Callithrix jacchus: one gene and its partners. The protein of the gene in region 2 purifies or fractionates together with the protein of the main gene of each other region. This does not show direct contact. Links are inferred from orthologs where the notes say so. Each region holds a gene or a part of one and is shown on either strand. Other genes may lie near its edges. The genes, in order: ZBTB18, FBXL17 and KLHL9.

Region 1 (3,749 bases), on a different chromosome or scaffold from region 2:
CAGTACAGCTCGGTGCGCTCGGAACTGGGCATCTCCCACCAGAACAGTGCAGTCACAAAGAAAACCCTGGTGTCTCTGCTCGCTCAGACACTGCAGCAAATGTCTACTGTGGTCTGGAAACTCCATACTGTCTTCATAACCTGGGAAGAGAGGAATTTCTCATTAGAGCCTGTCAGGAACCACTTTTCAGTGCTCTAGTCCCCATATAAAAAAATTAATTCTGCTTTGGCCGCCGTGGTACATGTCCCTGAATTTTAATCAGGCTTATGACCCAAGCACCACCAAATCACACGCACAAGACCTCAAAGCGAGAAGGAAAATGGACACTTTCTGAACTTCCTCACCCCCGCCAAACAGTTTCTGACACATCTCCATCTTGTTGAACTTTCAGTGAAGTTTCAAAAGCCTTCCTTTAACTACAGCATCTAAGAATGAGAATTTAGATCTTTCAGAAGAAATCTATGAACTCTACTTATCAAATTATGTCCTACAAACCCTACAAAATAGCTTTAATTTCAAAGGAAAGAACTCATATAACAAACAAAGAAATGTCCCAGACATATCCTGGAAGACACAAGAAAACTTGTCCAACCATCCCTATTCTTTTATTACTTTTGCTACTTGACTGTACTTAGAAAGCACAGTTTAAATACACACACACACAAACACACACACACACACACACACACACAATTTGGCTGAATCAAGAAAAAAAAGAAATTGCATAATTAGTCCAGAAATTAGCAAATAACTTACTTTTAAAGTCAGTGTTACAACAAAAGCCCTGTGTATAAAAACAGATGTTAATGCCTTCAGATTTGCAGGTACAGCACACATGTACGAGATCAGAAGGAACTGCACCAACAGATGGAAAAGATCATCTTTACTATGAACAAATCCAAAGATTTTGAAAAACGAACTGAGAAAAAAAGTTGTATTTCTTTGTAGAAACTGTACTTTTAGAATATTAGGAACCAGAAGGGCTTCATTTAACTCAGAAAATTCTCATCTAAACTTTGATCCGTTGCAAGGCAAAATGAGTTTCATATTAAAATTAATTCAAACTTTTAAAAATAAAGGTATACAATGCTTAAATAAAACTCAAAAGCTTTACAGGTTCAACTTTTTTTTTTTTTAAACCTTTTTAGAAAAAGAGAAACTAGATTTTTCCCCTGGTTCTGCCTTACCTCAGCCAACAGAAAATACTTTGTTTCAATATAATTTGATATATTGGTGTTTTCCCACTAGCTTCTATTCTTGCAAATACTCATCACTGCCCTCCTTTTCTGACGAGGAAAAGTGAAATGGAGGGAACGGAAAGGCAAAGATGTACAAAGGGTCAGAATTCATCAGCAGTGGGTAAACTCCTACAAATAAAGAGGACCCGACTTCCCCTTCCCTGTGACCAGAAGCAAGGCTCCGCACCGTCCATCTCAGCAAGTGCATTTTGGGAATAGATACACTTAATTGAATATTCAGAAATTACTTCCCTTCTTCCTCCTCTTCTACACTTTGCGCAAGATAGACTGAAAGTTTATCCTAACCCCAAACACATTCTGCAAGATACCACTGCTAGAATAAACTAAGATTTACAATACAATCACTTTAAGTGCCCCACAGCTAACATCAATCCTAATCCTTGAGAGGGCTAAAAATAAAGATTGGAGGGCAGCTCACAAGGTAGCCGTGATCAAATTAGGAGGCTGAGAGGACAGAGAGGGACGAAGAAGGAAGCTTATAAACATCTGATCCAGCTGACTGTGGCCATATGGCAGCTGCTGCCCAGATAAAGAGATTAAGAATAGAGGAGTGCGATTACAGCTGTCTGGCCAATTCAGGCAGCTCAAATCTACAAGTTCTAAATTAGTCGCTAACACAAAAACTCCTGCAAATAATTATTGTTATGCTGAAATAAAAGATCTCTTAAATATATATTTGACAAGAGATATGAGGAAACCAGTCAAACTACTCTCCTAGGGACAAAAGTCTTTTTTTTTCTTCTTCTTCTTCTTCTTAAAAAACCTTCAGTTTCAAAAGCACTACAGCTGTATGTTTCAGTAGTGCTGCTGAATGTTTTGAAGAATAAAGTTTCACAGTGGAATTAATTACACAACAATCTAGCTTCTTAACTAGAATAATCTTCTCATATAAGTTTGAATGCTGGATTCCAGACAGTTTACTATTTCCCCACCACCACCCCAATCAAATCTAAATAGCAGTGAACAAAAAAGCATTTTAATCCAACGTGATTTCTAAAAGCAATATTTCAAAGCCGTTCTTAGCATTTCCAAACTTGAAATATTTCTGTGTATTAAAGTTATTTATTTGCTCAAGTAAAAGGGATAAAAAATTAAAACTCAACAAACTCAAGACTCTCAACTCCAGTAAGATGTTCATTTAATACTCAATTTCATATATTATTCCTAAACTGGGTTAGAAAAGTAATGTGATTTTTTAAATTAAATAAACAAAACACCAAAACAGAAATATGCTCCATCTAATCTCTTGCTACTCCTACCTTTAGGACACATAAACCTGATTAAGTCCTTTCCTCTGAGTCCTGCTGGCTCCAGGTCTGTTACATCGGTGGAAAAAAAGCAGACTAAGAGAGACAGATGCAAAGTGGAGATGATGTTAGAGAGGAATGAGATACCTTCTCCACCACAGATCCGCACACACTAACTCCCTGTCTGTGTGTTAGAATAAAAGGCTGAGGGATGGCAGGCTGTCAGCTGCTCTGACATCATGTTCAGATGGAAATGCTACCTCCAGCTGTGCTCCTTTTAATGCCATATGCTACTCCTCTACACTCCTGCCACCAGCTTTTTCTTAGGAGAACTTTTCTCTTCTGTTAGTATAAACAAAATACTTCAAAGTCTTCCTTTTTTTCCAAACTTTCTAACAGAAGAAATTGAAAAACTCAGCATATGGAGTTCTACTGTATTTATGGAATAGCAACACTTCTGTCTTAAGTTGGTGGACTGGCTTACATACTGACAGCACACTCAAGCCACGGTGCTATTCAGGAAATCCAGATTCACTTTTATTTAACTCCAACGTTTAGTTTCTTAGGGATATTTTTAAACCAACCCATTTGACATCTCCAGTCCCATTTCAACATTACTGCGGCACTTCTTTTTTCTGCTGAGATAATGGTATCCATGTCTCAAATGTTGGCGGACCTGTTCAGAACTATCACTTCATACTGGTTCACCGTATTACTCCCTCTTATTTAACTACTTATCTACAACTACCTTCTCGGTAAAATTTCTTACACTGCCACAGTTAATGCAAATTTCAATTCTCAGTACCCAGGGGCTCAAACTGCACTTTCCAAAATCCTGGAAAGTACTTCAGTTCAATGAGACCAATTAATAAACTGATACAACCTGCTACAGTCACTTAAAATGAATGCTGCAGCTGCATATCTTATCTTTCTGCTCAGAAAAAGCAGAACCTTGCCTTCCCCTTGATCTGTGTCCCTTAACAATCTTTTTTCTTTGCGGGGGGGGGGGGTCCTTGTGTCATATTTACTATCACAAGAAAATCTTTGTGTGGGGAGAAGCCGGGTCTAGTAAGTTTGAGAACTTTTTGGCCAAAGTTTGTGGGTCTTTTCTAACGGCTGATGAACCTGTAACGCGACCCGGGCTGGGCTGACCAGGGGCCGGGCAGGGTGCTGTGACATCTCTGAATGTCAAATACATTTCCTCAGACTGCTGGGAGGGCGAGAGGTAGAAAAGGAACTGGGG
Region 2 (3,749 bases):
ATAAACCATGTTGGTGACAATAACAATTGTAATTAAAGTTACTTCAGTAATATTAAAAGTAGCCAAATTCTTAACAAGGTTATCTATGGCTAGTCTCTAGTATCATCCACAATGAAAATAGTTTATATTTATTAAGCCCCAGAAAGGGTGGGGTGAGAGACGGCAGAAAAAGAGGAAAAAAGTTAATAATAACTTAATAAAAACTCTATTACATAACTAAGGTTGTCACTAGCATTGACAAAACTGCAAAATATGGTAGTTGAAAATGACACAAATTTCATCCAGGACACCTACCTCTACTCACTGGTCTCCCAACAAAAAAATACATCTGTGCTACCTCTGGTAATCTGTATGCTTTTACGTAAGGGTTAAAATGTAGGAGGGCATTACCACATAGTAAACAAAGGAATTTTTAAATCAAGTAGTCTTAAATTACCTCGTTCAAGACCTGGATCTGCCCTTTACTTTCTGTATGTGACCTTGCACAAGTCATTCAACCAGTTCAAGCCCCACTAGACTGTCAGCTCCATAGGCGCTAAGACCACTTCTTCCTGACTCACTACTGTAAAAACCCTGCTCCACGGCACGGAGAAATCAGTTTCTTCTTGTATAAAATAAATATATTAACAATATATTTATCTCGCAGCGTTAACTGGATAAATAAGTGGGATACTGTATATATAAAGCTCTAGCGCAGTGCCTGATTATGGTAAATGCTCAATAAAAGTTAACTGTTTGACATTAACTACCAGCCATTAAACCTGAAAGTAACGTCTGAACACTTCCAAACACTGATATGCAAAGCCTTTACCCACTAACTATAAATTCCTCAATTGATTAAAAACAAATTCCCTCCCCCCCGCCCCCCACAGAATGCCTGCGAAGTTTCTAAAACACTGGGTTGGGATTCTAATAATAGCTGAACCCTGAAGGGTGGGTTATAGAGTCAAGCTATGAAGACATTCAGTAGACTCCAAGTGCTTATACTTCAAAAAATAGGCCACAGGCAGAGGACCCACTGGCTTCCCAGTCTCCGGTTCGGACGTCCCTCGGCTGTCAGGGAACCCCCCCTCCTCCGCGCTTAGGGGGAGGAGAGAGAAAGCCTCGGAGGCGGGGGCCCGGGGTGGGGGAAAACGAGCATCCCTGCGCCTCTCGCCCAGACCCACCTTGAGCAGGATGGACGGCGGCAGCTGGTTGATGTCTGGGGTTTCGGGGGGCGGCTCCCTGTGACAGTCGCAGGGGTTTTCGGGGGGCTCCAGACAGTCCGCGTCGCCACATTCACGCTGCTGCTGGGCGGACGAGGGGGCGGTGCCCCCGACTCGGACAACGTCCCCGCCAGCCTCGGTGGGAGCACCTTCGGAAGTGGGAGAAGAGGGCGGGGGGCAGAGCGGCTGCTGGGGCTGCTCCGGACCCTGGCAGCAGCCGGCGTCGGGGGGTCTGGGCGGCGAGGCGCCTCCCCCGGCAGGCCCTCCCCCACCGCCGCCGCCGCCGCCACCGCCGCCGCAACCCCCGCCGCCACAGCGGGGCTGCTTGCAGGGGGTGCAGGCGGGGACCCCGGCCCCCTTCCGCTTGCACACCATTTCGAGGGGCGTAAGGGGCTCGGCCGGCGGCGGCGGCCCCCGGAAGAGCTGCACAGCGGCGGGCGGCCCCAGGAAACGCACCGGCCCCAAGCTGGCCAGGAAAAGGCTTCGGCCCTGCTGCTCCCAGGCGGCGGCCGCAGCCAGCCCCAGCTCTTTGCAGCAAGAGGCGGGCGACGAAGCCGAGGCAGCAGCGGCGGCGGCTGCGGCGGCCGAGGATAGCAGGAAGCGGCGGGCGGCTGCGGCGCAGTCCTCGGCGGCCAGGGCCGCGTAGCGCCGCGCCAGGTGCTGAGAAGAGGAGGCGGCGGCAGCGTAGGCCCCGTCCCGCGGCGGCGGCGGCGGCGAGAACGGCGGCTCCTCCTCTGGGCCGGCGGGGGCGGGCGCGCCGGGACTGTGCACGATGAAGCAAAGCATGCAGGGCCCGCGGAAGAAGCAGTCCCGGCTCCGGGGCGCCGCCGGCTGAGGGGGCACCTTGGCTGGGGTCCGGCGGGGCAGCCTGAGGAGAGGGCGCCGGCGGCGGCACCAACTGCAACAGCGAGGCCTCTTCTGGCTCGGGCGGTTACGCGGCTCCTTCGAGAGAAGGTGGCCCATATAGAAGGCCCCGAGGAGGGGCACCAGGACGGGAGGGAGGGAGGCCCAGAGAGGCGAGCTCCCGGCAGCGGGGCAGGCCGCTCGCTGGCTCGGCCTCCGGCCCGCAGCGGGGTCGCCCGCTCTGCGCACACACACGCACACACGGGCACACACGCGACGGTAGGGGGGTGGGCGTTAGCCGCGGGCCGCCGGAGTGCCCGAAGGGGGCTACATGCTTTGCCCAGAGAAGCCGGGAGAACGATGGGAGCGAGCTTTAGGGACGCGAGGGAGGGAGGGAGCGAGCGAGCCTGCCGGCTAGGCGACCAGTCGGGCCCGGTCAGCCGGCTCAGTCAGTCAGCGCGGCAGCGGGGGCAACGCCGGTACCCGCTCGGACCATTTTAACTGCGGCTCTGCCGGCGGCGCGCGCGCCCGCGACTCTGCTGAGAGCCGCAGGAGCGCGCGGCCCATTCCGGCAGGGGCGGAGCCAGTTGCGGCGGCGCGCTTGTGGCTAGGACGCCGGCGCCCAGCTGCTCAACCGGGACGGCTGCCACAGAGACACTGCGGGGAGGAGGCCGGCCGGCGAGGGCTCGGGACTCTGGGCTCACGAGGTGCGGCGCACGCCCCTCCCTCCCGCCGCCTAAGGTTTTTTCCGAGCCTGCTGGGCGTGCGCCACGTTTCTGAGGCGGGAGGAGACACTTCCGAGCCTGCTGTGTGACATCCGTTTACACAGCCGCGCTGACGTCCGGAGGTGTAAGTTCAAGAGCTGCCATTGGCCGGGAGCCCCTTGGCTTTTCCCCTCACCTTCCACCCCCATCACTACTCCCGACTCGGAAACTGAGGCCTCTTCGAATCCACTAGGCGGGTTCCGCCGGAAGGGCCTGTGCGAGCCCTGACCGCTCGGCGAGCGGAGTGGCAGATGCGCGGCTCCTGGGTGATGCGCACCCAAGTCGTGTGAGGGGTTAATTGGTTGTACCGCACCACTGTTTCCCCACTTGTTTTCGTACTTGTTGCGTACTACTTCCTTTCCACAACTTTATTTCAGAATGAAAGCATATATCAAATTACCCATATACAGCTGAAGGATAAGCAGTTTCCTCATCCAGTGAGCCATGCAACACCCAGGCTACAAGCTGTAGATAGCTTCATTATCTGCACCCTCGGAATCCTGTCTAGTCATATATTACGTATTTTAAAGATGAAGGTGCAGTGCCTGCTGTATGACAAACCTTGGTGATCCCGGTTAGAAAGAGTAAATAGCTGTGCCGGCAATCCTTTAGAAGGTTTAACAATATCGAGGTTAACTTTCACGAGGGAAAAATTGGAGGAGGCAAATACCGATGGGAATGAGCCACTCTAATGAGAGAAATAAGGGGAGAAGGTGGAATGAAGAGTACTTAGGAAGGATGCTTTTCTTGATTGTGATTACAGAGAATGAGGAGAGGTGAATAAAGGATGGATACAGATAGATGTATGGTTTTTTTTTTTTTTTTTTTTTTGACAATGGGAGTTAAACTTGTTATAGGAAATATTGCTTGGCAACTTATGAGAGACCAAGGCTATCAAGAAGGCAAGATGGATGTTTCTAACAGGAAGGTGAAAGAG
Region 3 (3,749 bases), on a different chromosome or scaffold from region 2:
TGGAGTACCTTGTGAAGGACAGAGGTGGTCTAAGCCTTCTGAATCTTGCAGCCATGTATCAGAAACAAAGAAAACATTCAAAACAGATGAAATGTCCATCAAAAGGGCACTGGTTAAATAATTTATGACAACTCAAAGGGCAACAATAGAATTATTTAAAAACATAGATAAGCCCTTTAAATACTAATTCAGGAAGATCTTGAAGTGAAAAAAGATGCAGAACAGTGTACATGGTGTGCTATTTTTTATATAAAAATGAGAGTGTAATAAAAATATGACTATGTTCTTACTTTGCATTTGCATAAAGAACTAGAAGGATTTAAAAGACATAAACTTCAAATTTGGAAAATGGAAGAAATTGTGCCAAAGTATACATTGATTTGTATGTCAGAATTTAAATTTACCACTAATTAAATAAATGCAAGTTAACAAAATACTCATAAAGGGAAAAGTCAGCAGAAGGGGTGATAATATTTTGGAAATATTGTCTTGGATCAGCATTTTACTAACTATCCGTAACAGGGCTAAAATTTTGCTACCAGATTCTATAAGTTCACTACAGATTCTATATAACAATGGAGGATAAGAAGGTACATATTCAGGAACAAACAATGGGCAAAGGAAACTATATTATGTATAGTTATAGGAAAATTATGTAGGCATTTTTTAAATTGTGGAAAACAAAGGCATTTCAAGCCAAAAATTTAGAATATACCATTTACATAATAGTCACAATCTAGCAAAGAGACAAATACTTTGTGCTTGAAATTACAACAAATTCGAAAATATGAACCAAAATTGTAACTGGGGTATTAAATAGTGTGCGATAATTATTGTTTTGTAAAAAACTAAGCATCCTCCCGTACTCTTCTACCAGGTTTTCTTTCAATTTATAAAAAAGCTGCATTTCACTGCTATTCAAAAAAACAGAAGCTAGGAAGTGTAAAGCTTTAAAAAATGCATTTGGGAAACGTAAGAGCTCAGATATGCGAAAACCTTACATCAAATATGCAGCATAACATATGTGCACACATTCTGTTCTATTTAGTCCCAAGTACAAGGCAACTCTAAGACGTCGGGCTGGAGTCAACTTCAGGGTGCCCCGCTTCCCCAACCTCGCAGTCCCCGGTTGCCGCGCTCCTCCTCCCCCTTCACCACCCCCACACATCCGCCCACTGACGAGCTCTGGAGGCTGCGCAGCCGCAGTAGCCGCAACGGCCGCTCCCACCCCGGGGGATCCTGGGACTAGGCTTTCCCGGAAGGAGCCGCTTGGGGACCGGGGCTAGGCCGGTGTTCCAGGCCCAAGCCCAGGTCCAGGTCTGTGTTCAGGCACTTGCTCAAAGACTGGCCGGTGGCCGCTGTGACACTCTAGGTACAGCGGAGGGCGCAGCAGGCAGCTCGCTGAGGAGCCTGGACTCGCCGCCGAGCGGGCCCTGGAGCCGCAGTACGTGGCTGCGCCTCCCCTTTGCCCGAAGCGGAACTGCTGAAGGAGCGGCAGCGCAGGCCAGACGAGGTAAACCGGGTCATTTATCCACCTACAGGTCATGAATTATCTGTCTAATAATCAGATTTGAGGTCCACAGCCCTTTGTGATCTTGCTACAGGGCGATTTTTAGTGGATGACTGACTGGCGTGGCCTGAGGGGTGCCGCAGTGACTGCTTTCCTTTGATAAGGAAACGAGCTCTCTGTTCTTTGTGGACACCTCGTTGACTGTAAAACATTCCGGTTATAACTTCTTTCTCCGGCCTGCATCTCTGTACAGGAGGAAAGCTTTCACATGAAAGTGTCCCTTGGTAACGGCGAAATGGGCGTCTCTGCCCATTTGCAGCCTTGTAAGGCAGGAACCACACGCTTTTTTACCAGCAATACTCACAGTTCGGTGGTACTGCAAGGCTTTGATCAGCTTAGAATAGAAGGATTGCTTTGTGATGTGACCCTCGTACCAGGTGATGGAGATGAAATCTTCCCTGTTCACAGAGCTATGATGGCGTCTGCTAGTGATTATTTCAAGGCTATGTTCACAGGTGGAATGAAAGAACAGGATTTGATGTGCATTAAACTTCATGGGGTGAACAAGGTTGGTCTGAAGAAAATCATTGATTTTATTTATACTGCAAAACTTTCTCTTAATATGGACAGTCTTCAGGACACACTTGAAGCTGCCAGCTTTTTACAAATACTACCTGTTTTGGACTTCTGTAAAGTATTTCTTATATCAGGAGTCTCTTTAGATAACTGTGTTGAGGTTGGACGAATTGCTAACACCTACAATCTTATAGAAGTGGATAAATATGTTAATAATTTCATCCTGAAGAACTTTCCTGCTTTACTGAGTACTGGAGAGTTTCTAAAACTCCCTTTTGAACGGCTTGCCTTTGTGCTTTCCAGTAACAGTCTTAAGCACTGTACCGAACTTGAACTCTTTAAGGCTGCCTGTCGCTGGCTAAGGTTGGAAGACCCTCGGATGGATTATGCTGCAAAATTAATGAAGAATATTCGATTTCCACTGATGACACCACAGGACCTCATCAATTACGTGCAGACGGTAGATTTCATGAGAACAGACAATACCTGTGTGAATCTGCTTTTGGAAGCTAGCAATTACCAAATGATGCCATATATGCAGCCAGTGATGCAGTCAGATAGAACTGCCATTCGATCGGACTCCACTCACTTGGTTACATTAGGAGGAGTTTTGAGGCAGCAGCTAGTTGTCAGTAAAGAATTACGGATGTATGATGAAAGGGCACAAGAATGGAGATCTTTAGCCCCGATGGATGCTCCCCGTTACCAGCATGGCATTGCTGTCATTGGAAACTTTCTTTATGTAGTTGGTGGTCAAAGTAATTACGATACAAAAGGAAAAACTGCTGTTGATACAGTTTTCAGGTTTGATCCTCGGTATAATAAATGGATGCAGGTTGCATCATTAAATGAAAAGCGCACATTCTTTCACTTGAGTGCCCTCAAAGGACATTTGTATGCAGTTGGTGGGCGCAGTGCAGCTGGTGAACTAGCCACAGTAGAATGTTACAACCCAAGAATGAATGAGTGGAGCTATGTTGCAAAAATGAGTGAACCCCACTATGGACATGCTGGAACAGTATATGGAGGCTTAATGTATATTTCAGGAGGAATTACCCATGACACTTTCCAAAATGAGCTCATGTGTTTTGACCCAGATACAGACAAATGGATGCAAAAGGCTCCAATGACTACAGTCAGAGGTCTGCATTGCATGTGTACAGTTGGAGACAAGCTCTATGTCATTGGTGGCAATCACTTCAGAGGAACAAGTGATTATGATGATGTTCTAAGCTGTGAATACTATTCACCAACCCTTGACCAGTGGACCCCAATTGCCGCCATGTTAAGAGGTCAAAGTGATGTTGGAGTTGCCGTCTTTGAAAATAAAATCTACGTTGTTGGTGGATATTCTTGGAATAATCGTTGTATGGTAGAAATTGTCCAGAAATATGACCCAGAAAAAGATGAGTGGCATAAAGTTTTTGATCTCCCAGAGTCACTTGGTGGCATTCGAGCTTGTACACTCACAGTTTTTCCACCCGAAGAAAACCCTGGGTCACCTTCTAGAGAATCACCTCTTTCAGCACCTTCAGATCATTCTTAGGTCTAAGGTGTAATACCTTTGCAGTACATCGTGGGTGATCTAATACTTCCCCTTCAGTTGTATCTTCTTACAGTGATTGGTACAGTTATTAGATATAAAGATAACTGATGTTATTTG

The links.
Region 1: the proteins of FBXL17 (region 2) and ZBTB18 purify together in Homo sapiens (co-immunoprecipitation; 3 studies listed by BioGRID and IntAct, with this or other methods). This does not show direct contact. The link is inferred for Callithrix jacchus from reciprocal best matches to the Homo sapiens genes FBXL17 and ZBTB18.
Region 3: the proteins of FBXL17 (region 2) and KLHL9 purify together in Homo sapiens (co-immunoprecipitation; 3 studies listed by BioGRID and IntAct, with this or other methods). This does not show direct contact. The link is inferred for Callithrix jacchus from reciprocal best matches to the Homo sapiens genes FBXL17 and KLHL9.

What each region holds. Positions count from the first base shown.
Region 1 is NC_133520.1:42,083,459-42,087,207, forward strand, and holds the start of ZBTB18 (zinc finger and BTB domain-containing protein 18), read right to left. Parts: upstream 2,681-3,749; 5' UTR 2,532-2,680; coding exon 2,519-2,531; intron 1,580-2,518; exon of another isoform or gene 757-1,579; intron 141-756; coding exon 1-140.
Region 2 is NC_133503.1:101,704,684-101,708,432, reverse strand, and holds the start of FBXL17 (F-box/LRR-repeat protein 17), read right to left. Parts: upstream 2,587-3,749; 5' UTR 2,169-2,586; coding exon 1,167-2,168; intron 1-1,166. UniProt on the Homo sapiens protein: Substrate-recognition component of the SCF(FBXL17) E3 ubiquitin ligase complex, a key component of a quality control pathway required to ensure functional dimerization of BTB domain-containing proteins (dimerization quality control, DQC).
Region 3 is NC_133502.1:128,320,315-128,324,063, reverse strand, and holds the start of KLHL9 (kelch-like protein 9), read left to right. Parts: upstream 1-1,231; 5' UTR 1,232-1,778; coding exon 1,779-3,632; 3' UTR 3,633-3,749.